4 linked regions of the Oryzias latipes genome follow. The protein of the gene in region 1 interacts with the protein of each later gene in a biochemical or structural test. Links are inferred from orthologs where the notes say so. Each region holds a gene or a part of one and is shown in the gene's direction. Other genes may lie near its edges. The genes, in order: lef1, transducin-like enhancer protein 1, nlk and microphthalmia-associated transcription factor.

What was found.
Region 2: the proteins of lef1 (region 1) and transducin-like enhancer protein 1 form a complex in vitro, tested with the Homo sapiens proteins (2 studies listed by BioGRID and IntAct, with this or other methods). The link is inferred for Oryzias latipes from reciprocal best matches to the Homo sapiens genes LEF1 and TLE1.
Region 3: of the proteins of lef1 (region 1) and nlk, one has a biochemical effect on the other in vitro, tested with the Homo sapiens proteins (4 studies listed by BioGRID). The link is inferred for Oryzias latipes from reciprocal best matches to the Homo sapiens genes LEF1 and NLK.
Region 4: the proteins of lef1 (region 1) and microphthalmia-associated transcription factor form a complex in vitro, tested with the Homo sapiens proteins (2 studies listed by BioGRID). The link is inferred for Oryzias latipes from reciprocal best matches to the Homo sapiens genes LEF1 and MITF.

The regions. Positions count from the first base shown.
Region 1 is NC_019859.2:16,134,896-16,139,385, reverse strand, and holds part of lef1 (lymphoid enhancer-binding factor 1), read left to right. Parts: intron 1-1,245; coding exon 1,246-1,378; intron 1,379-4,490. UniProt on the Homo sapiens protein: Transcription factor that binds DNA in a sequence-specific manner. Participates in the Wnt signaling pathway. Activates transcription of target genes in the presence of CTNNB1 and EP300.
Region 2 is NC_019867.2:10,634,450-10,639,420, forward strand, and holds the end of transducin-like enhancer protein 1, read left to right. Parts: intron 1-940; coding exon 941-1,188; intron 1,189-1,457; coding exon 1,458-1,605; intron 1,606-1,700; coding exon 1,701-1,851; intron 1,852-2,069; coding exon 2,070-2,146; intron 2,147-2,805; coding exon 2,806-2,913; 3' UTR 2,914-4,025; downstream 4,026-4,971. UniProt on the Homo sapiens protein: Transcriptional corepressor that binds to a number of transcription factors. Inhibits NF-kappa-B-regulated gene expression. Inhibits the transcriptional activation mediated by FOXA2, and by CTNNB1 and TCF family members in Wnt signaling.
Region 3 is NC_019871.2:30,640,311-30,645,356, reverse strand, and holds the start of nlk (serine/threonine-protein kinase NLK), read left to right. Parts: upstream 1-1,973; 5' UTR 1,974-2,912; coding exon 2,913-3,370; intron 3,371-5,046. UniProt on the Homo sapiens protein: Serine/threonine-protein kinase that regulates a number of transcription factors with key roles in cell fate determination. Positive effector of the non-canonical Wnt signaling pathway, acting downstream of WNT5A, MAP3K7/TAK1 and HIPK2.
Region 4 is NC_019865.2:20,303,294-20,308,284, reverse strand, and holds the start of microphthalmia-associated transcription factor, read left to right. Parts: upstream 1-1,456; 5' UTR 1,457-1,609; coding exon 1,610-1,713; intron 1,714-4,991. UniProt on the Homo sapiens protein: Transcription factor that acts as a master regulator of melanocyte survival and differentiation as well as melanosome biogenesis.

The DNA.
Region 1 (4,490 bases):
GAGGAGAATGAAGACGTTCACGGATCTAGTCGTCTGCAAGTGGATGCATGGGAATGGAGCAGAGCAGGGACCATGTGGCCTGACGATTGGAGTTTGTACGCAACAATTACAAGCTTTTATAAAGAGTATCTTTTTTCATCTGCTCCTGATTCACTACGATTTGAATAGAGGAAATGTTCAGAAATGCAATTTTAAGCTTATTTTTCTTTAAACATCAGAAAAATGAGACAATAACATGCTAAAAACACCAAAAATACAACCTTCATCTTAGTGGGTCTTTAAGGTGATATTTGGACTCCAGCTTGCCTCAGGGTTCAAATTTTTAAAGCAGATTTAGTCGTACTAAACACTCCCATGTGTTTCGTCCAGATTAAGCGTGCGAGAGCTGTTGGCTGAGGTTCTGCTGTGCCTGTTTGGGTCGGTTTTAATTGTCAGGAGGTACTGCAAGTTCCCTCTGAGTCATCGCAGGATGAGGAGCCACTGTTGACGTGATTACCCCTACATTAGGCACCACTGCAGACATCTGTCTTACTCACGCATTCTCTCCATAGTGGGGGTGCAACAGATCCCGGATTATCAGTGATACACTAGCCATGGTTCACCCCCACCCTCCTCCTCGTACGCACCTCGCTCATCATTTTTCCCGTGTTTTTTTTTCCCATTTAACTGATCCGAAAAATTATCCGAATCCTGACGCTAAAACCGTGACACGATCCGAACCGTGAGTCGTGTTATCCATTGCACCCCTACTCTATAGTCAACCCCCCGTCCCTTCCTCCTCCTCCTCCTCCATCCCTCATCTCTTCTTCCCCCAGCTCTTGCTCTGTAATGAACTCCCCTTATTCACCGGCTAATGACTGCCTTTGATCTCCCGCCTCAGACCTCTGCTCTAACACTACCTTGCAAGTCTCTCATCTCCCCCCCCCCCTCCACTCTTTGCTCCACTGCTCGCTTGCTTCCCTTCTGTGTGCATCTTTCTTTCTGTTTCTATCAGAACTTGCACACGCTCCCTCTTTGGCTTGTTTTCCCTCTTGTCTTCAGGGAGTGGAATTTTGTAGTCCTGCTGACCTAGGCTAAACAAAGTTCTGAACTGCTGGGCGCACAGAGAAAAAAACAACAACATTTTTTAAAGTGTCTTCTTGAGCAAAGTCTTAAAGCCAGATGGAAATAGTTCACCTGTTCTCTACCATGCATTATATTGGAGTTACACACCGTTCCTAAATCCAGTTGCACTTGTCTCCGCAGTCCAACAAAGTCCCCGTGGTGCAGCCGTCCCATGCAGTCCACCCACTGACCCCGCTGATCACGTACAGCGACGAGCACTTCGCCCCAGGCTCTCATTCGGGCCTCCACCCACAAGATGCCAACAACAAACAAGGTAGGAGAAGCAGGCGTGTTGCACAGTGAGCGGCATGTCCATGGCGTTCGTTTGAAAGCCGCTCATGTTGTGGCAGAGCTATTTACAGATCAATGCAACTTTTTCTGAGCATCGTCTCACTATATTTAGGTGTAAGTGCTGTCATGTGGCCCCCAAAGGGCTTTTACCCAAAAGAAAAACCTGTTTATCTCACTGCCCTGAAGTTTTCTGTGTCTGAAATAAAGCACGAGATGCAGGATTTTGTCAAACTAGATCTACATGTGACTGAGCTGATACCTGGTGTGTGTGTTTTTTTATTTAACTACAACTGTCAACTCTGTCAAGAATCAGAGATGCTCCTGCTAAAAATATGTCAAAACAAAGTCATCCTCCTAACATCTCTGAGTGAGAATTCATTTGAAGCAGCCTGTGGGATGGCACGCTGAGCTCTGATGCCCTCTCCCTCTGCACTCTTTGCCTCTTGGGAACAACTTCAAGCTGTAGCTCTGACAGCTGCGGAGAAGCTCCTCTGCTGTTTGGACGGGCTCTTCAGCCCCGCGCAGCTGGAAACTTTGGCAGCTCCTTCGCTTGATGCCACAGAGACGCGGGCCAAACATAGTTTTGTCCTGCACCGTTTTCGCTTTTCTTTGCTTTCTTCTTCTGTGGCTGCCAGTTGAAAAGGAGGGGGATGATGTAGGCGATGAAGACGAGGAGTTCTGAGGGACCAACTATAAATAAGGATGTAAGCACAAGGGATGCAGCCCTGTGAGATTTAAGCTCCACATATGTCATACATCTGACACACGTGCTGGGATATTTTTACCTTCCAACTACATAGTAAAAAAGAACAAACAGGTAACAAAGCAAGAGGTGCACTCGCTGGGTTTGAGGAGTTCTTGTCACGTAGAATTCAGCGGCAGTTTCTTTTCATTTTCCTATTCGCCCTGTTTCTGACAGCGAAGAGTGGAAAGAAGCACCTGGGGGGCCTTTTCCTTAGCATTTGATCTTGGCATTCAGAGCCTAACAGAAATCCATGTCCAAGCAATCCAGTTGCAAAATTAGCTGCAAATGATTTCCCTAGGCATATTCATGTATGGGTAGAGCTGGGCCGAACACGCTGAAAACCAAATCTCCCCTCATTCTCCTCGTTTGCTGTCCCTCTAGTTCTTTCTCTCATATCGACCAATTGCTGCTCTGCTTCCTTTAGCGGGCTCTGACTTTGATCCGCTCGTTAATTATGAAAAACAATCATGGATTTTCTCATTATGGGCTCTAAAATGCAGAGGGCCTCTATGTGGGCTGGAAGGTCGCACCGAGGGAGGGGGTGGAGGAGAATTGTTGCTAATTTCTGCGTGTATAAAGGCAAATCTAACATTCAGAGTTTAAATATGAGCGCCAGCTGTATCCAGCTAGTGTGTGTCTTGTTTTGGCTTCGTTGGACGCCAACGGGAATGTGTAAAATGAGGAGCGAGCGGGTGTAATTAGGCATCATAGAGGTGTGAGTGACAAGGTTAACACGCTGGGGCTCTCTCTTCCTCCCCTGCTGCTTCACCTCTCGCCTCCTTCCTTTCTCCCTTTGGGAGGGCCCTAAAGGAGTGTTAGGCGGTGGATTAGTGAGGAGGAAGCAGGACTATCCGCGCCATGAATCCAGCGTCGCAACATTGGCTTTGGGGATATAAGCCTCCCTCTCAAGCTGCCTCTCCAAGGAGGGATGCCCCTTCAGATCCCAGCCTGGGGAGAGAAGGAGGAGGACCAGAGATGAGAGAAGCAGGGGAGGAAAGGCGGGCTCCAGCGGGGTTTGGAAGATGGTGCTAATCTGGACGCATGTGCCCTTTCCTTTTTTTGGTGTGTTTTTGGGTTGCGAGGAGCTGCATTCCACTTGTCTGTGCATGAACAGCATTTCCTGATGTCTGCTTGACCTGCCGGGAAAGACCAGGAAACAAATTGATTTAGGAGAAGAAGGGATTTTCAAGTCAGACAGATTTTTGTCATCCTGCAGCTCCGTTTTCACTGCCTTCTGTTTGGAAAATAGACCTCCTGACCTTGAAGCCCAGAAGGAGGTGGAGAAAGGAGAGGTTAGTCCAAACAGTCAGTCTGAGCCGATCCCGTGCCTACAGGGAGCACGGCTGCCTCCACCGTTAAGAAGAAGCTGCAATTATGCAGCTTAAAGATGCTGAAACACACTAACAGGAACATAGCTCAAAGAACAAATGATTCTCCTTTTCTCCTTGTTAAATATTGAGGTCAGAGTTGGTCTTTTTGAACAATCACAAATCTTACAACTGTAGAGGACTATGCTTCTTCAAACCAAGGAAACACTCCCATCCAAGTTTTTTAGGATGAGTTTGTCCTGTTGATGTCATTTTGGCTTTATTTCTTCTGTTCGTGAAACTATTTCCTTGTCCTTTTTTCCTCTTTGTCATTGGCTGCTAGCTTGTGTTTGCACTTGTGTCATTAACCAGTTGTGAACCACCAGCGACAAACAGCTAGAGATGTAAAGGATGCAGAAACGTATGAAAAAAAAATGGATTCAGTACTGAGAGTAACGGCAGTATCCGTTAAAAATACAGTTACAAACAAGATTATGGTACTTTATCAGTTTCTCTTCCTGTTGTGTCCTCTGCTTTCTTTGCTTTTTTATGTACATTTGATCCAAGCAAATATCAAAATGATCTAAAAGACCCAAAAATGCCAAGTTTATACGTTTAAAGCTGTTTCATGTATAATTTTAAATGACAGATGAATAATACATATTTAGATTGTAACCATAGGTATGAGAGTTGCACTGTTATGTATTGCCACAAAGGTAATTGAATCTTTTATGTATTGAGATGCATATCCATCGTGTGAGAGGGAAAGCTACACAACCATAATGAAAACCCATTCTATTTATGACTAACACCTACTCTGCTATGATATGGATCAAGAAGGTTGTCGGAGCATATCCCAGCTGTCTTTGAGCAAAGGGAGTCTTGTGACTAAAATGCAAACCCCACCTAAAATTTAAAAAACTGAGATTATCTTTGTCAGCATCAGCCATATATTGTGTAAAAAAAAAAAAAGACTAATAAGACATTTTCTTTGTATTGTATACTCTCAAAGTATCTTAGCCACATATTTTATGGTTGTTTTC
Region 2 (4,971 bases), on another chromosome or scaffold:
TTCCACGTAAAAAAAACTCATGTTCATGTTTTCAGGCCCCATGTACAAAACGTGTCGCCAAGCTAGAAAATCAAACCAGGTCAAACCAATCAGCACATCTGATTTGGTAGGAACGTATGGATGGTGTTCCTTTTACATTCAAGTGCCATTTGAAAATCGATCACGAGGAGATATTAATAATTGCATTTTGTTCCCGGCCGGAATGATACGACACCAAGTCTTTCATATATCGGAATAAAGCTGTGAAAGAAAAAGTCTGTGAGATTTCCACTTTGACATTTCACACCTAACCTCTTCCAATGATAGTTTGAAGACTTGTGCTAGTAAACGGTAGGAAAAGAACAAGAATAAGCAGCCCATCCCTGCTAAATGCATGTTCAAGAATGCACATTACATTCCCGGTGTGAACGTAGAATTTGGGAGAACTGAACTCCTTAAATTCTTTCATGCTGTTGTGTAGGACAAGGGACAACATTCAGACTAATTAGGAGTTGGCATGGACTTTGCCTTTAGCCTAACACTTCTCATTAGGATGAAAATGCTGGAAACAAGCATCTCTCTGTCTTGAACACATTGCAATGTACAGATGTGTATTAATAAAGTAAGAAATTACCATTTCAGTTGATTCCAAGCTCAACGTGAATTTGACTTTGCATTTCTTTTGCATAGTTGGTAAACAACCTCACAGTGATGAAGACAGTCTGCCTTTTGTTTCTTTTGACGGTTCTTTATCTTCATAACTGTTGTTTTTTTTTCTCTTTTTGCCACTGGAAAAGCTACAAATCAAAATGATGGCCACATTAAGCATTTTTTAAAGAGTATTTCATTCTATAGTTCTTACTCAATTAATTTTTAATAGCTGTTGTTGTACTATGTTGCATGGATACAGACAAAATATTTTAAACAAACGTATTCATAAACTATGCCTTTTTTTCTTCAGAACCGGGATAACTACATCCGCTCGTGTCGTCTCCTCCCCGATGGTCGAACGCTTATCGTAGGTGGTGAGGCCAGCACGTTGTCAATCTGGGATTTGGCCACACCCACTCCTAGAATTAAAGCAGAGTTGACGTCATCGGCACCAGCCTGCTACGCTCTGGCCATCAGTCCAGACTCAAAGGTCTGCTTCTCCTGCTGCAGCGATGGAAACATCGCAGTCTGGGATCTACACAATCAGACCCTTGTCAGGTAAAAATAGATTTTATTGCCCAGAGCTTCTGTTTTTTAGTGTTAATGTCATTTGTAACTTATGCCTGGTATGGATAGTTATGTAGAGGTTATCTACAACCACTCGGTTTATTTTCTTTTCAAAACAGATGCTACTCATTGTTGTATCGATAGCTTTAAATATGACTCACATTTGCTTCGGCCTGAACTTGATTAAGCTAAAGCTGAAGCCATTTATCTATGTATTCAAACAATGCTTTCTAAATGGAACTTGCATGTGTGTCCCTCAGGCAATTCCAGGGCCACACCGATGGGGCCAGCTGTATTGACATCTCCAACGATGGCACCAAATTGTGGACAGGAGGCCTGGATAACACTGTCCGCTCCTGGGACCTGAGGGAGGGACGGCAGCTGCAGCAGCACGACTTCACCTCACAGGTATTTGAGTTTTTTCCCCCCATTTGTTCTGTGTTAAAAGTCAGGGCGTAAATTACGAATCAAAACTTTAATCCTAATTCCTCTCCTTTGTCCAGATCTTTTCTCTGGGCTACTGTCCCACAGGAGAATGGCTTGCTGTTGGGATGGAGAGCAGCAATGTGGAGGTCCTTCATGTCACCAAGCCTGATAAATATCAGCTTCACCTACATGAGAGCTGTGTTCTTTCTCTACAGTTTGCATACTGTGGTAAGCAGCCCAGTGTCTCACTGTTTGTGCAAACAATTTAGACTTCTTCAAAACAAACGTATCCTAAAATTTTATGTCTGGATAAAGAAACTGTAGTGATTGAATTTTTCCTCACGATACAAAACATTTTTATTTACCGGTACTGTAAAGTTTTTTTCCTGATGAAAATGTCATTTTCTCTTTTCTTTTTCTCCTGTTGTGTGTTTGTGTTTCACTAGGCAAATGGTTTGTGAGCACCGGAAAGGACAACTTATTGAACGCATGGAGAACACCCTATGGAGCCAGCATATTCCAGGTTGGGAAAACGGATTTGTTCATTCAATCAAATGTCTTTTAAATTATTTAACAAATGAAACCAGGGTTGAGCATTAATGCAATTAATTTAATCATTTCACAATTTATTTTACCAATTTATTTGACAAAGAAAAATAGTTTTTACACAACTGATTAAAACTAAACAAAGACAACATTTTCTAAAAATAAAAATAAATTCTTATCTTTAAACACTAAATAAAAGATGGAAGAAGAAAAAAACATAGATGAATTAATTAACTGAATCAATATTGCTTGTTTTTAATCAATTGATTAATTTAAACTCAATTTAAACCCCTAATTTTTCTGCATTTTCACAAATGCAGTTTCTTTCAAGCATTGGTTCATAAAAATAAGAGTTTTCTGAATAATGTCTTTGACTCCTGTGCATTTGTTGGTTTAAAAGTAGCTCATTTAGTTTGATTCCGGTGCATAAGCATCACTTAAAGGTTAATCCTGTTTAGCTTTTTTATTTCTTAAGAAACGTCATCATTTATATGAATAATACTTTTTACAAAGTACATAGTGTTGATATGTAAATATCACTTTACATAACGACAAATACTTTTTATTTCGGATGTAATTAAAAACTTTTGTGTTTGGTAATAATGGGATTCTCTCTTTTCTTGTTTCTTTTCTCAGTCTAAAGAATCCTCTTCAGTGTTGAGCTGTGACATATCTGTGGATGACAAATACATCGTCACTGGGTCAGGTGATAAGAAGGCCACTGTTTATGAAGTCATCTACTGAAACCCTTGGAAAAAAGCAGCAATGCTTTCCATTTACTACAAATGTTTCCATGGAACTCTTCTCGTGGAGCGAGAAATCACAAGAAGAAAGGAACTTTACCAGGACATTTATTTATTGTTTTCTTACGCCTGCTGCAGAGACGCTGAAAGGAGGCTAAATTTAACCTGCAGATATTTATTGTGCCTGTGAACGTGACTCCACATCTGAGGGAAATTATTGGAGCGGACAAAGAAAAACTGTGGATTCTGGATCATCTGCTTCTCGACCAGTTGGGGGTTTAGTGACAAAAAGGCGACTGGATACAGATCTTTGAATGAACTCGAGCCAATATTTGGTTTCTCAGCCAGCGTCAAAGTGGCCAATCTGTAAACATGAGCAAGACTTTATATAAAAAAAAAAAAAAATATAAGGGGTGAAGAACGAATGCAGAAAATATAAAGCTTCACATTCGCTTCCAGAAATAGTCAAGCAGGGACCTACAACTTTTTCCTGTCTTTTCATAATTTTTTTTTTTATACTAACTTCTCTAAAGGGGTGAAAACGAAGAAACAAGCCTAAAATTCTGAAAATTCCCAAATGTGATGGTGGAGGCACAGAAAGGGGAGATTGGTTGTTTAACGGTATTCTTTTATAAAACCTCTGAGTTGAGACACGCTCTTTGTTTCAACTTCAGACTTTGAAAAAGTATTTTGAAGTACAAATAATTGGAAAGTTTTTTTTGTCTTTTCAATGCACACAAATGTCAAAACAGTGCTTAGTTGCATTCAGTTTAGAAAAAGTTATTTTCTTCTAATGAAGTTGAGTTTTTGAGATGTCACTGGTGATTTCAGGCTCTGATGGATGGTCAGCATAAGAATGGGTCATTGGTAGCTTTTATACTGTGATTTTTTTTTTTCTTTATATGACACAGCCTTCACATCAAATCAACAGGTCTTAACCTCATCATCTCCCTGCCTTCATCAGTCCAACACTCGATGTCTTATTGTGTAAATGGTTATTTCCACTTCCTTAACAAGATCCAATTACAAATCTTTTAGCAGTTCATTAGTGCTCGGCTATTGGAAAATAAAACTAAAACCTCCTTTAGCACATTTGAACAGAGACATAAAGAATATTATAAGATCAAGATAAAACTGTTTTAAAAGTATTTTAAAGTTGTGCAGGTAATGTTCTGTCATGTTTTTCTGTCCTTTTTGGTCTGTATATAAAATTGTACATTTTGTTTTCTTACAAGACATGATTTAGAAATAAACAGTTTTTGTATGTCTTTTACATGTAATCAGGAAAAATCAAAGTGGTTTTTATAGCCTCCGTGGTGCAGCAGTGGTGGTTCGATTCCTGCCTCACCCGTCCATGCATTGAAGTGTCATTGGGCAAGACGCTGATCCCCACCTTGCCTCTGGTGGAAGGTTGGCGCCAGTGCTTACCAGTATGTGAATGGGTTTGAGACTGAAGCGCCTTGGGCCTTCGAGGAAGGTAAAAACAAGCGCTATACAAGTATACGCCATCTACCATAAACTGCAAGCGATTCTACAAAGGGCACAAGTCAGAGGGTAAAAAAGCTTCAACTCTCGAGCCCTAAATTCGTTCAGGATGTGAATTTCTATCTATTCCACACAAGTAGAATTAGGGAAAGGCTAGCCAGTTTAGCAAGCGAGATAATCCAACTCTGATAGCTCTGCATGGAAAAAGCTGAGCAATGAAGTTGGCGAAAATAAGTCCCCTAGGGTTTTTAATTCACAGATTCAAGCTAATGAGTTAAAAAAAACTAAAAAATTTTTTACACAATATTTTTCTTTTTATTTGACCAGTCTTTGACCAAACATTTTGCGCTCTAGTGTTAGGACTTTTATTTTGAAATGAGGACATCATGTTGCTGATGGTCAAATTCAAGTTCTCTTGTTTTTTTTCGTTTTTGTTTCAGCTACTTTTTACCACAAATAGTTTGTCAGCTTCATTTCTTTGTTGTCATGTTCTCTACTGCTATCTTATAGCCCCTCAAAACCCCAACCTAACATTACCGGTGCAAAAAAAAAAAAAAAAAAAAAGAAGAGGAAA
Region 3 (5,046 bases), on another chromosome or scaffold:
GTCTGGCTACACTCTCTCCTACCACCACTTTGCAGTCAATAACCTCTCTCAAATGACCTCGTCTACATAGGATGTAGTCCACCTGGGTACTCCTACCTCCACTTCTGTATGTCACTCTATGTTCCTCTCTCTTCTGGAAGTAAGTGTTGACTACAGCCATTTCCATCCTCTTTGCAAAGTCCACCACCATCTGTCCCTCCAGATTCCTTTCCTTCACACCAAACCTGCCCATCACCTCCTCATCACCTCTATTGCCCTCACCAACATGCCCATTAAAGTCTGCTCCAATAACAACTCTCTCTCCTCTGGGGAAACTCTGTATGACCTCATCCAACTCACTCCAGAATCTCTCCTTCACTTCTAGCTCACAGCCAACCTGTGGCGCATACCCACTGACTACATTCACCATCACCCCTTCGATTTCTAACTTTAGGCTCATCATCCTGTCTGAGACTCTTTTCACCTCTAGAACACTGTTTACAAACTCCCCCTTCAGAATCACTCCTACCCCGTTTCTCTTCCTATCAACACCATGATAGAACAGTTTGTATCCTCCTCCAATACTACGTGCCTTGCTGCCCTTCCACCTTGTCTCCTGCACACACAGTACATCTACCTTCCTTCTCTCCATCATGTCTGCCAGCTCTCTGCCTTTCCCTGTCATTGTGCCAACGTTAAGAGTCCCTATTCTCAAACCTATGTTCCTGCCTTTTCCCTTCTCTCTCTGGCCACGGGCCCTTCTGCCTCCCCTCTTTCTTCCACCAACAGTAGTCAAATTTCCACCGACACCCTGTAGGTTAACAGCATCGGTGGCGGTCGTTGTTAACCCGGGCCTCGACCGATCCGGTATGTCTAAAGTGTTGTGGATGATTCGCATGGTTATTTTGGCAATTTTTACGCCGGATGCCCTTCCTGACGCAACCCTCTCTATTTATCCGGGCTTGGGACCGGCACAGAGGCAACTGGCTTGCAACCCCTGTGGCTAGATTTACTTTCTACACCAAATATCTGTAAAGTATTAATGTCAGATTTTTCACAGCTCTGTTTTTTATGGGCATTTAATAGGTTATAAAAGAGTTCAATGAAGATTATTTGATCAAGAAGCCTTCAGTGCATCGCGTCTGTGTTCCTTCTGGTCTCTTGGTCATAAGTAGCGCATGTTCTATCCACCTTCACGATCCCCAACTATCACATCGTTCTGTCTAGTGTGGACAGTTAAAGATTTCTAATGTGCGACATTTATTGTGTAAATGTGAAGCTGTTAAACAACAATGAATACAACAATGAAAATACACAGAACTTAGGATCACCTATAAGGATGTTTTTTTCAGAAACTCCAAATTATTTAACCATAACCTTTGCTTTGGTTTCAAAGAGTGGGCAGCCAGTCAACCTTTCTGAATCAAACACTGACTTGTTCTATTGTATTGACATACAGAACAGTGATTTCTGTCTGGTAGGTGGATGGTGTCATGTTCATTTGGTTTGACTGAAAACAGCCTCCTGTATGGGTGTAGCATACCGGACTGTTTTGGATTAAAACCTGTCAAATTAATGTGATCACTTCCTTTAAAAGCTTAGAGTAGAAAGAGAATCCATTAGAACCTGACTGGAACTTCTGTTCAGGTCAACTTTTCAGTGAAAAGCCTTGGGTTCTGGACAGGTTTGTCCAGGAGAGGTTCACTCAGTGGTCCCGTCTCTGGACGGGTTTGTCCCGGACCAACAGGAGGCGGGGTGATGATGATCCACCGGCCTGCAGGAAACTGTCTCCATCAGCACAAAGATAAATATTCAAGCGGGGGGAAGGGGGGCATCAGCGGGCGCCCCCAGCGCCGCTCAGCCTTGCTGTCACCCCAGCTGGAGGGCCGCCATTGGCTGAGCTGCCTGTCAATCGGGGAGATTTCGTCTGCGTCACTGCCGCGCGGCCTGTGATTGGCTGCTCGCTGGGTCTCATCTCACCGCCGATTAGCGCAGATTGTGTTCACCATGTTGGATCGAGCGCTGCCTCTGGATTCCTGGTAATCGATCAGCAGAAAGCAGCTCCACCGGTCCGGACCGCGGAGGTTCGGCTGTGGAGTTTCGGGTCCGTGTCGGTGCGACAGCGGCGGTTCCCCCTCGAGCTGGGTTCGTGATGCGGCGCGCGGCTCGAGCTGCTGCTAGCTCCGGGCTGTCAGGCTGAGCGGCGCGCGGCGCGGAGCTGGGTCATCCCGCGTTCACACGCACCGAACTGCTCGGGTCACGTGTCCCGCTGCATGAGCACCTGTGGGCCACCGACCCGAAGCGGGCGGACGGACCGAACTTGAGAAACCGACTTCAAGGCTTTGCCAACCCCAGTCATGCTCGCGGCCCCGTCCCCGCTCCGAACCTCCGTGGACCTGCGCCGCTCCGTGTGACTGAGTGGAACGGATGGGGGCGGCGTGCTCCCGGGCCGGGAGACACCCTCTCTGCACCGGACCCCCAGCTCGGAGTTCACCTCCGACCGCGAAGTAGCTTCCTGCGCGCTCAGAGCAGAAAAGTCCGTTCGGAACAGCGCCGAACATTTCTGAACCGCCAGAGCTGCTCGGTGGGAGGACTTCCGGTGCTGATCCAGAGCGCGTGGACGCTGGACCGCGATGCGGGAGATGAAGCTGCGGCTGCGCGGCATGTGATGTAACCAAGGCCGCTGCTGTCAGGACGAGGCCGCCTCATGAGGGCCGTCACGGGCCGCCAGCTGTCTTCCTGGACCGGGGTTCGGGTTCTGTTACTCTGAATCCCTGAGAACTCTAGAGCGTGGAAGTGGGTCGTTGACACGATGCTCCACAGACTTCCCCTCCTCTGTCATTGAAGCGGGTCGTCTCATGTTGGATCCTCAGCGGTTCTGGTTCTGTTCTGGCTGAGTGTCTGCTGACCTTCCTCGTCTCCTCAGGAGGTGGATGGCTCTGTGTGGCACCACCGCCGCCAATGCTCCAAAAATGATGGCAGCTTACCCCGGCGGCTCCTCGGCAGTGGCTGCTGCCCATCACCACCACCAGCAGCTCCAGCACCTCCCGCCGCCCCACATGCACCACCACCACCACCACCACCACCACGCGGGCCAGCACCACCTGCAGCACCCAGGCTCCGCTGCGGCCGTGCACACGGTCCAGCAGCACACGACCGCAGCGGCGGCGGCGGCGGTGATGCTCAACCCCGGCCAGCAGCAGCCGTACTTCCCCTCTCCCGCCCCCGGACAAGCCCCTGGGCCGGCAGCCGCCGCCGCTCCTGCCCAGGTTCAGGCTGCTGCTGGTGTCAAAGCCCACCACCAGCACCAGCAGAACTCTCATCACCTCCAACAGCAGCTGGACATTGAACCGGACCGGCCCATTGGCTATGGAGCATTTGGGGTTGTCTGGTAAGTGTCCACAGGCCTGTCATCACTCCCCCAGGTTCTTGAAACGGGTGTTGGACCTGAGTTCCTGCTGGTTTTGGCTTTTGGTTTTGGTTCATGCTCTGGACTCACCAAGTTGTTCTGATGAGGTGTCAGGCACTTTGGACCTCTGATAGAATAAACAAACAAATGCTACCTTTCTGAAAATCCATCAGGTGCTAGCTAGCACATTGACTTAGTCTGAGGCTGGAGCCAGAAAGTTTTCATCAAATATTGAGAGATGAACTAAAAGGTAGAAGTGAGAGGGAAAAAAGAGGGAGGTAATGGTGGGGAGCACTGACAGCAGGAAGAGGATAAAGCCATGGCACAAAACCAACCCGGGTTCTCTGAGGGGTACCCTGACCATTCCTCTGTTTCTGGAAACAGAACGTTTTTTAGCTCTGTGTTTACATGGAGCGTATGCATGCGTGCGTGTGTGTGTGTGTGTGCATGCGTGTGTGCGTGTAGCGGTGGGTAACTGGTGGAGGGTACAACAACAAAGGAAAAACAGACTTTACAGGAAAGCAAAACAAGCGGGTCTTCCCCCATTTGCCTCCTGTAGCCAGAATCGGCATACTTTCAGCGAGGCACGGAGGTAGTGGAATGATAATGTGTCATCTGTAAACAAAAGTAATATATATTTAGATGTTTAAGCCTGCAACTTTGAGTCCTACACCGTTTACAGACAAAACTTCATTGTTGTGGACTCAGACTGCTCACATAGTTTCATAAATGACCATTGAGTTAACCCTTTAACTCTGGAGATGTCGCCGTTGACACCGAAGTAAACCACGCTTTTTGGCGTCCCGCAACTGTTGGACCATTTTCTCAATCAATGTGAATCATCTGACGCTGATACGGAGACAAGCAGCTTCTCGTATCGGTTTTGTGCTGCTATGCAACACTTACTGAAAGCATATTGTTGCTCAAAGGTGCAAAGTCACTTTTCTTGGAAATGTAATGAGCTGACTGATGTTGTTTTGTGAAAGCACTTCACTGCTAAAATGTATTGCAAATCAGCCCGTGGCGGCTTTTCTCTGCTGAAGAATCCCTGGAAGGACTTTGTGTAAATGGTTGAAGAGTAATCGAAGGAACGTCTACGGTAAGATAAAGTTCCTGTGTTAAAGGGTTAAAAACACAACATGGAAACAAACATGTTGAACATTTCCATAAATGCACATATCTAAATATGGCAGATTTTGAGATTCGAAGGAACAATAGAACAAATCTATAGTTCCCAAACCATCCACCCAACAAAGACTTGTATACAGGTTTGACATTGCTGGTTAATGCATACACAGATCCCTGTTCTGAAGTGGGGACCTGTACAGTATGGGCCCTGCTGTCACCCTGTAACAGCTGGGATTGGCTCCAGCGCCCCCATGGCCCTGCACAGGAAGAGAAGCTGTCGTCAACAATGACGGTGTTGAGCCCATTTGTTTCTCGTCATCCTGATTTAGTTGCATGACGTGACACTATGATGGTAGAGATGGCTTTGGTAATTCTACAAAACATCGAGGATTAGCTTTTAACTTTAACTTTATTTAACAACAAACCATCAGAACATAGGAGAAAAATACTTCTGGGATCATTTAAAGTTTCCTTGTTTGATTGGTTAGTTTATATTTAGACATATTCTATAATCCCCAAAACTCGTCTGT
Region 4 (4,991 bases), on another chromosome or scaffold:
AAAAAAAACTCAAACTGGTTCAGCAGGAAAAGGAGAATGCAAATAATCCACTTTTGTCTCAGCTGGTTGACGTTGACTTTGACTTTAAAACTCTACTGCCCCTTAGTGGTAAATAGGAGCCAAAGCCTGCAGTTGAAAAACAGCTGGCAAGAACTGGAGTTAAAAAAAAGTGATATGTATTTGTCTTAAAAGGCCAAGGGACGATAACAAAATACTAATACTACTGCTACTAATAATAAAGGATTTTAAAAGGAAAAAGAGTTGATTATGTTTTCAAATCTCTGCCTGGGTGATTGCATAAATAAACTGATGATTAATTGTTTTAATGAAAATATATCTTTAAAAAAAAGACATAATATATATATATATATATATATATATATATATATATATATATATATATATATATATATATATATATATATATATATATATATATATATATATATATATATATATAATTTTTTTTCTGTGATTTTTTTAAACAAAAGGTCTTGACCAAAATAGTTGATACTTTTTATCACGTCATTTTTATTTCTACACACTCTACGTCTTAATTGTAACAACTGACCTCTACAAATTAAAAGTTCATTTTCAGAGTCAAACAGACTTTGACAGTTTAATTTTCAACAGGCACATTCAACAGGCTGTAAAAAGCCAATATAATGCATCACTGGGATATATATCTCAATCAATATTTAGCATACGATGTAAACATTATTGCAGAATATTAATATTTATAATTATTTATAATTATTATTATTATTATTATTATTATTTATAATTAGACGGCTCATGTTGCCTGTGTTAGCGACAAAGTCAGAGAAGCCAGACTGAGATGGTTTGGACATATTCAGAGGAGGGATAGTGGATATATTGGTAGAAGGATGTTGGAGATGGAGCTGCCTGGCAGGAGGGCAAGAGGACGGCCAAAGAGGAGATATATGGATGTCTTAACAGAGGACATGAAGTTGGCTAATGTTAGGGTAGAAGATGTCCATGATAGAGTGAGGTGGAAAAGGATGATTCGCTGTGGCGACCCCTGATGGGAAAAGCCGAATGAGAAAGAAGAAGATTAATATTTTAGTCTAAAGAAAATTATAGCCAGCCTATTGTATTTTCTATTTCTTTTGATTCACAACTATTTGGATAGAGAAATACTTGATACACTTTAAGCCTAATTTTCTTTACATATGTCCTCCATCATCAGATAAATGCTTGAAAAACATGTTAAAAACACAAAAAACGCGATTTCGATCGGAGTGGGTCTCTAAAGGTGTTTATGGGACAGAAATCACCTGCTCAGTGAGCAGGTAAAGCGTCTGAAACCCCGTCGCACCTCGCAGCCAATCAAAGCTAACGCGACATTGACAGCCTTTTGATGCATTGTGGGACTTGTAGTTAGGTCGTATGCCACAGCGCGTTAGCGGGGCTGTTATCACAGCTGGAATAGACTACAGAGGTTCGTGTCCCGGGCAGAGGCGGCTTGCGTTGACAGTTGGTTGGTCCTCGAAGAAGCGCAGCGGCTCCAACATCGCCCCGCAGTTTTGTTTTGTTTTACTTGTTTGTGGGTTTTTTTTACGTTCTGGAAAAGTTGACGTCTGCAAGTATGCAGTCCGAATCCGGAATAGTTCCTGACTTTGAGGTCGGCGAGGACCTTCAGGACGAGCCTAAAACGTACTATGAGCTGAAGAGTCAACCTTTGAAAAACAGGTCAGTCCATTTCCCGTGGACAGTTATTTCCCACTCTGAAGCGGTTTTCAGGTTTGGGTGATAATTAGCCTCCGAGCTGTCTACTGAGCGTCGCGCGGAGGCCGAGCGCGCGCGAGGCTGTCCCGGCGGGGGGGGGGGATGTGTTGCCCAGCTGTGGAGTGGGATTCGGCTGCCTCTCATTCAAAGTTATGCAACACTTGGGTGTTGTCTTGTCAACATCAACTTCAAATATTGGCTCGTGGAGGAGCAGACAGGTCAGAGTTGAGTGAGATGCTGCTCACGCCAGGGACTCCTAACACAATTGATGCTACTTTATTTTTTATATTTCTGTCAAGAATGACTCCAAATGGACCTCAAACAATGTTAGTCAAACCCATTTATTTCATTATTATTTTAGTAAAATATCGATGCTTCATGAGATTTCCCCTTCAAAATAAAAGCACATTCAGAGGCTGCTGGAGGGGTGTAAAAGGTGACCAGTTGTCATAATAGTTGTCCAACCCGATGACCCTGATGTCTAATGTTGCAAGAGTAATTTTGGGGACTATCCGAACTGTGTACAAGTTGCTGAGTCAGCTTTAAGTGGCCCAAATCTGCCTTTCCGCCTTTTTTCAGGAACTTCTGCAGAGCCAGCATGCAATATAGGTTATTTTATTAGATCAGCTGTTAGGATGGAACACTCTAAGAATAGGAGTCAATTATGAATCTGATATATAAAATTGTGTAATTAGATTGAACAAACCATTGTTTCCTATTCGTGGCAAGCCTAAAGTGTAATTTTTAGGAAAGATGATGACTTGGAGTGACGGATTCGTGGATTCGTCAGATATGTGCTAAAGATGGATGAGCAGCGGCATCCTCACTTTTGATGCAACAACATGACTTCTCTCTGGGTGACATGTGAGCAAAACGAAACACCTCAGACTCTTCCTTCAACTTAGGAGCTGCAAAGCTGCTAATGATGACATGCGTCAACAAACTGCGATCCCATTCTCTCCGTCTCCTGTCGTCACCTTAGAGTTTGATTCCCTCAAGGCTGTCCTTGCTGCTGCCAGATCTAGACAGCCACAAGACAGAGCGCCACTGTTCTCAAACAAAGCAGTTTTTTTTCCTGTTGCCCTCCCTCCCTTCTGTTTCTCCGTATTTTGCTGTGGAGTTGCAGCTTTTCTCCTCTTTATTTCTTTCTTTAAGTCGACCAAAAACATAAGCTAAGAGAAAATCGCATAAATCTCATGAAACTATAACCTTTAGCCCAGTTTTTCCTTTTCTTTTTCCAAGTAATGTCAATTTCGTCATTAGTGAAATGTCATTACATTGTTACACGTACATAGACCAAGTCGGAGATGCCGCAAGAGTAAATATAACCCCTGAAATATCAACACAGTTGGCTAGTATGACAGAACATAGTTGAGAACATGTGGGATTTTTCTAAGCCTTTTGCTTTTATTGTTTTTTTTTTTTTAAATGTCCCACTTCCCCTTTCCATCACATGAGCATGATCTATCATAACAATGACTGTGTTGGGAGCCGTTATGACACTAAAGATTGATTATTTGGCGTTGCCCAAAAGTCAGGTAAGAGCTGCTTCGTCCCAGCTGCTTCGGAAGGAGAAATGTTGACAGTGACACAGTATCACCTCCGTTTCACGGATAGGTTTGCTTCCCTGCTGTCCCCAATCAGGCCGACAGAGCGAGCTGCTGCAGACGCTGTCCTGGACTTTCAGTGCCTATATTTAGATGTGAGGCAGACGCTGAACTAGTCTTATATGCAGTGTAAATAAGCTGTATAAATTTAGCCGTAGAAGTGTTAAATCTGAAATAAGTGGGGTTTTTTTGTGTGTGTATGTGCGTTCTCAAGCAAACTCTCGAAGCTAAACTTTTACATTGTTAAGCCCGTTTACATCCATTTAATATATTGGATTTCTTGAATTATGCGATTTTTCAAGTGACCGTGCAAACAGGAGAGTCTGATATCCTTTATCTGATAGTACCGAGATAAAATCGCATTAAGATTTCTAAGATTCCGTATTCCTCTCCACAAGCTAATGCAACCACCAGTTTGCCTAAAACAGGCTGACAGTAGGGCTTGAAAGTGACAGGATTGCATATTCTCATCCTCCAATCATCTTTTGAGTTATTTTACAAGCATTCCCAACAAGCCCTTGTTTAAATATGATTATACCATAGTCCGAGTGAATACTCGATTCTGATTGGCCATTCATCAAAAATTCTGAGTTGTGGGCAAGGCTGTTGGGACAGTAAAACCCGCCCCTTTCCCCCATCTTCATCGCTAAGACCTCAGAGCAGGGAGCTTGTGGCCCACCAAGCTTATTCTCTTCATCACAAATACATTGTTTTTCAAAAGGCATTTTGTTTGTTTGCTCTTGATTCACAACAATTTCAATGAAGACATTCCTCATAAATGCAATTTTAAGCTAAATTTACTAAATAAATGTCTTCCATCATCAGAAAAATGCCACAAGAACACGTTAAAAACACATTTCATTTTCATTGGAGTGGGTCTTTACAATGCATTGCAGCTAGTGCTGTGGAGTCCATTTACATGCCCACAAAAAAATCCGGTCATATCTGATATTAGACTATTCAAAGGGTCATGTTAGCAGCACCATCTGATTTTTCTTGTCAGATAAGCAGCTAGGGATGTGATTTCTTCCTGCATGTCTATCTTTTTGTCAGATTTATTTTGTTTTTGTTTTGACATCTATACAATGTGAGAAAAAAAAGGGGGAAAAATATTGGCATAGAGACAGTGTGAGTGCAAAATGAAAAACTTTGGTCACTAGGGCTGCACAATATGAGGAAACTTGCATTGTGCGATATTAGTGATCAATATTGTGATGATGATAACACTTTCGATACGTGAACAAAAATGTCGTAAAACAAACAAAAAAACAACAAAAGAATTATTGACATTTAACTGCAACAGTTTTATTTGAATGAAAGTCAGTATTACTTAAATCATACTCCAAGTGAGGCAGGTATCATTCGATTGGTCGACAACCTGAAGGGCTCTATTTGATTAGCTAAATACTTCAAGGGGCCATAAGGTTGTTTTAGCACATGTCTAAAGATTTAAAGTAACCGTTTATCACAGTTTACGGCGTCTTTTGCGTGTATTGCACAGGCTGATATCGTCATGATAATTAATGGTCATTTTATTGTGCAGGCCTTATGGTCACCATCATCATTATGATTGGACTAAACACTTTCTCTCTCAGCTACACGACTGTTGAATAATTACACTCACAGACAACTACT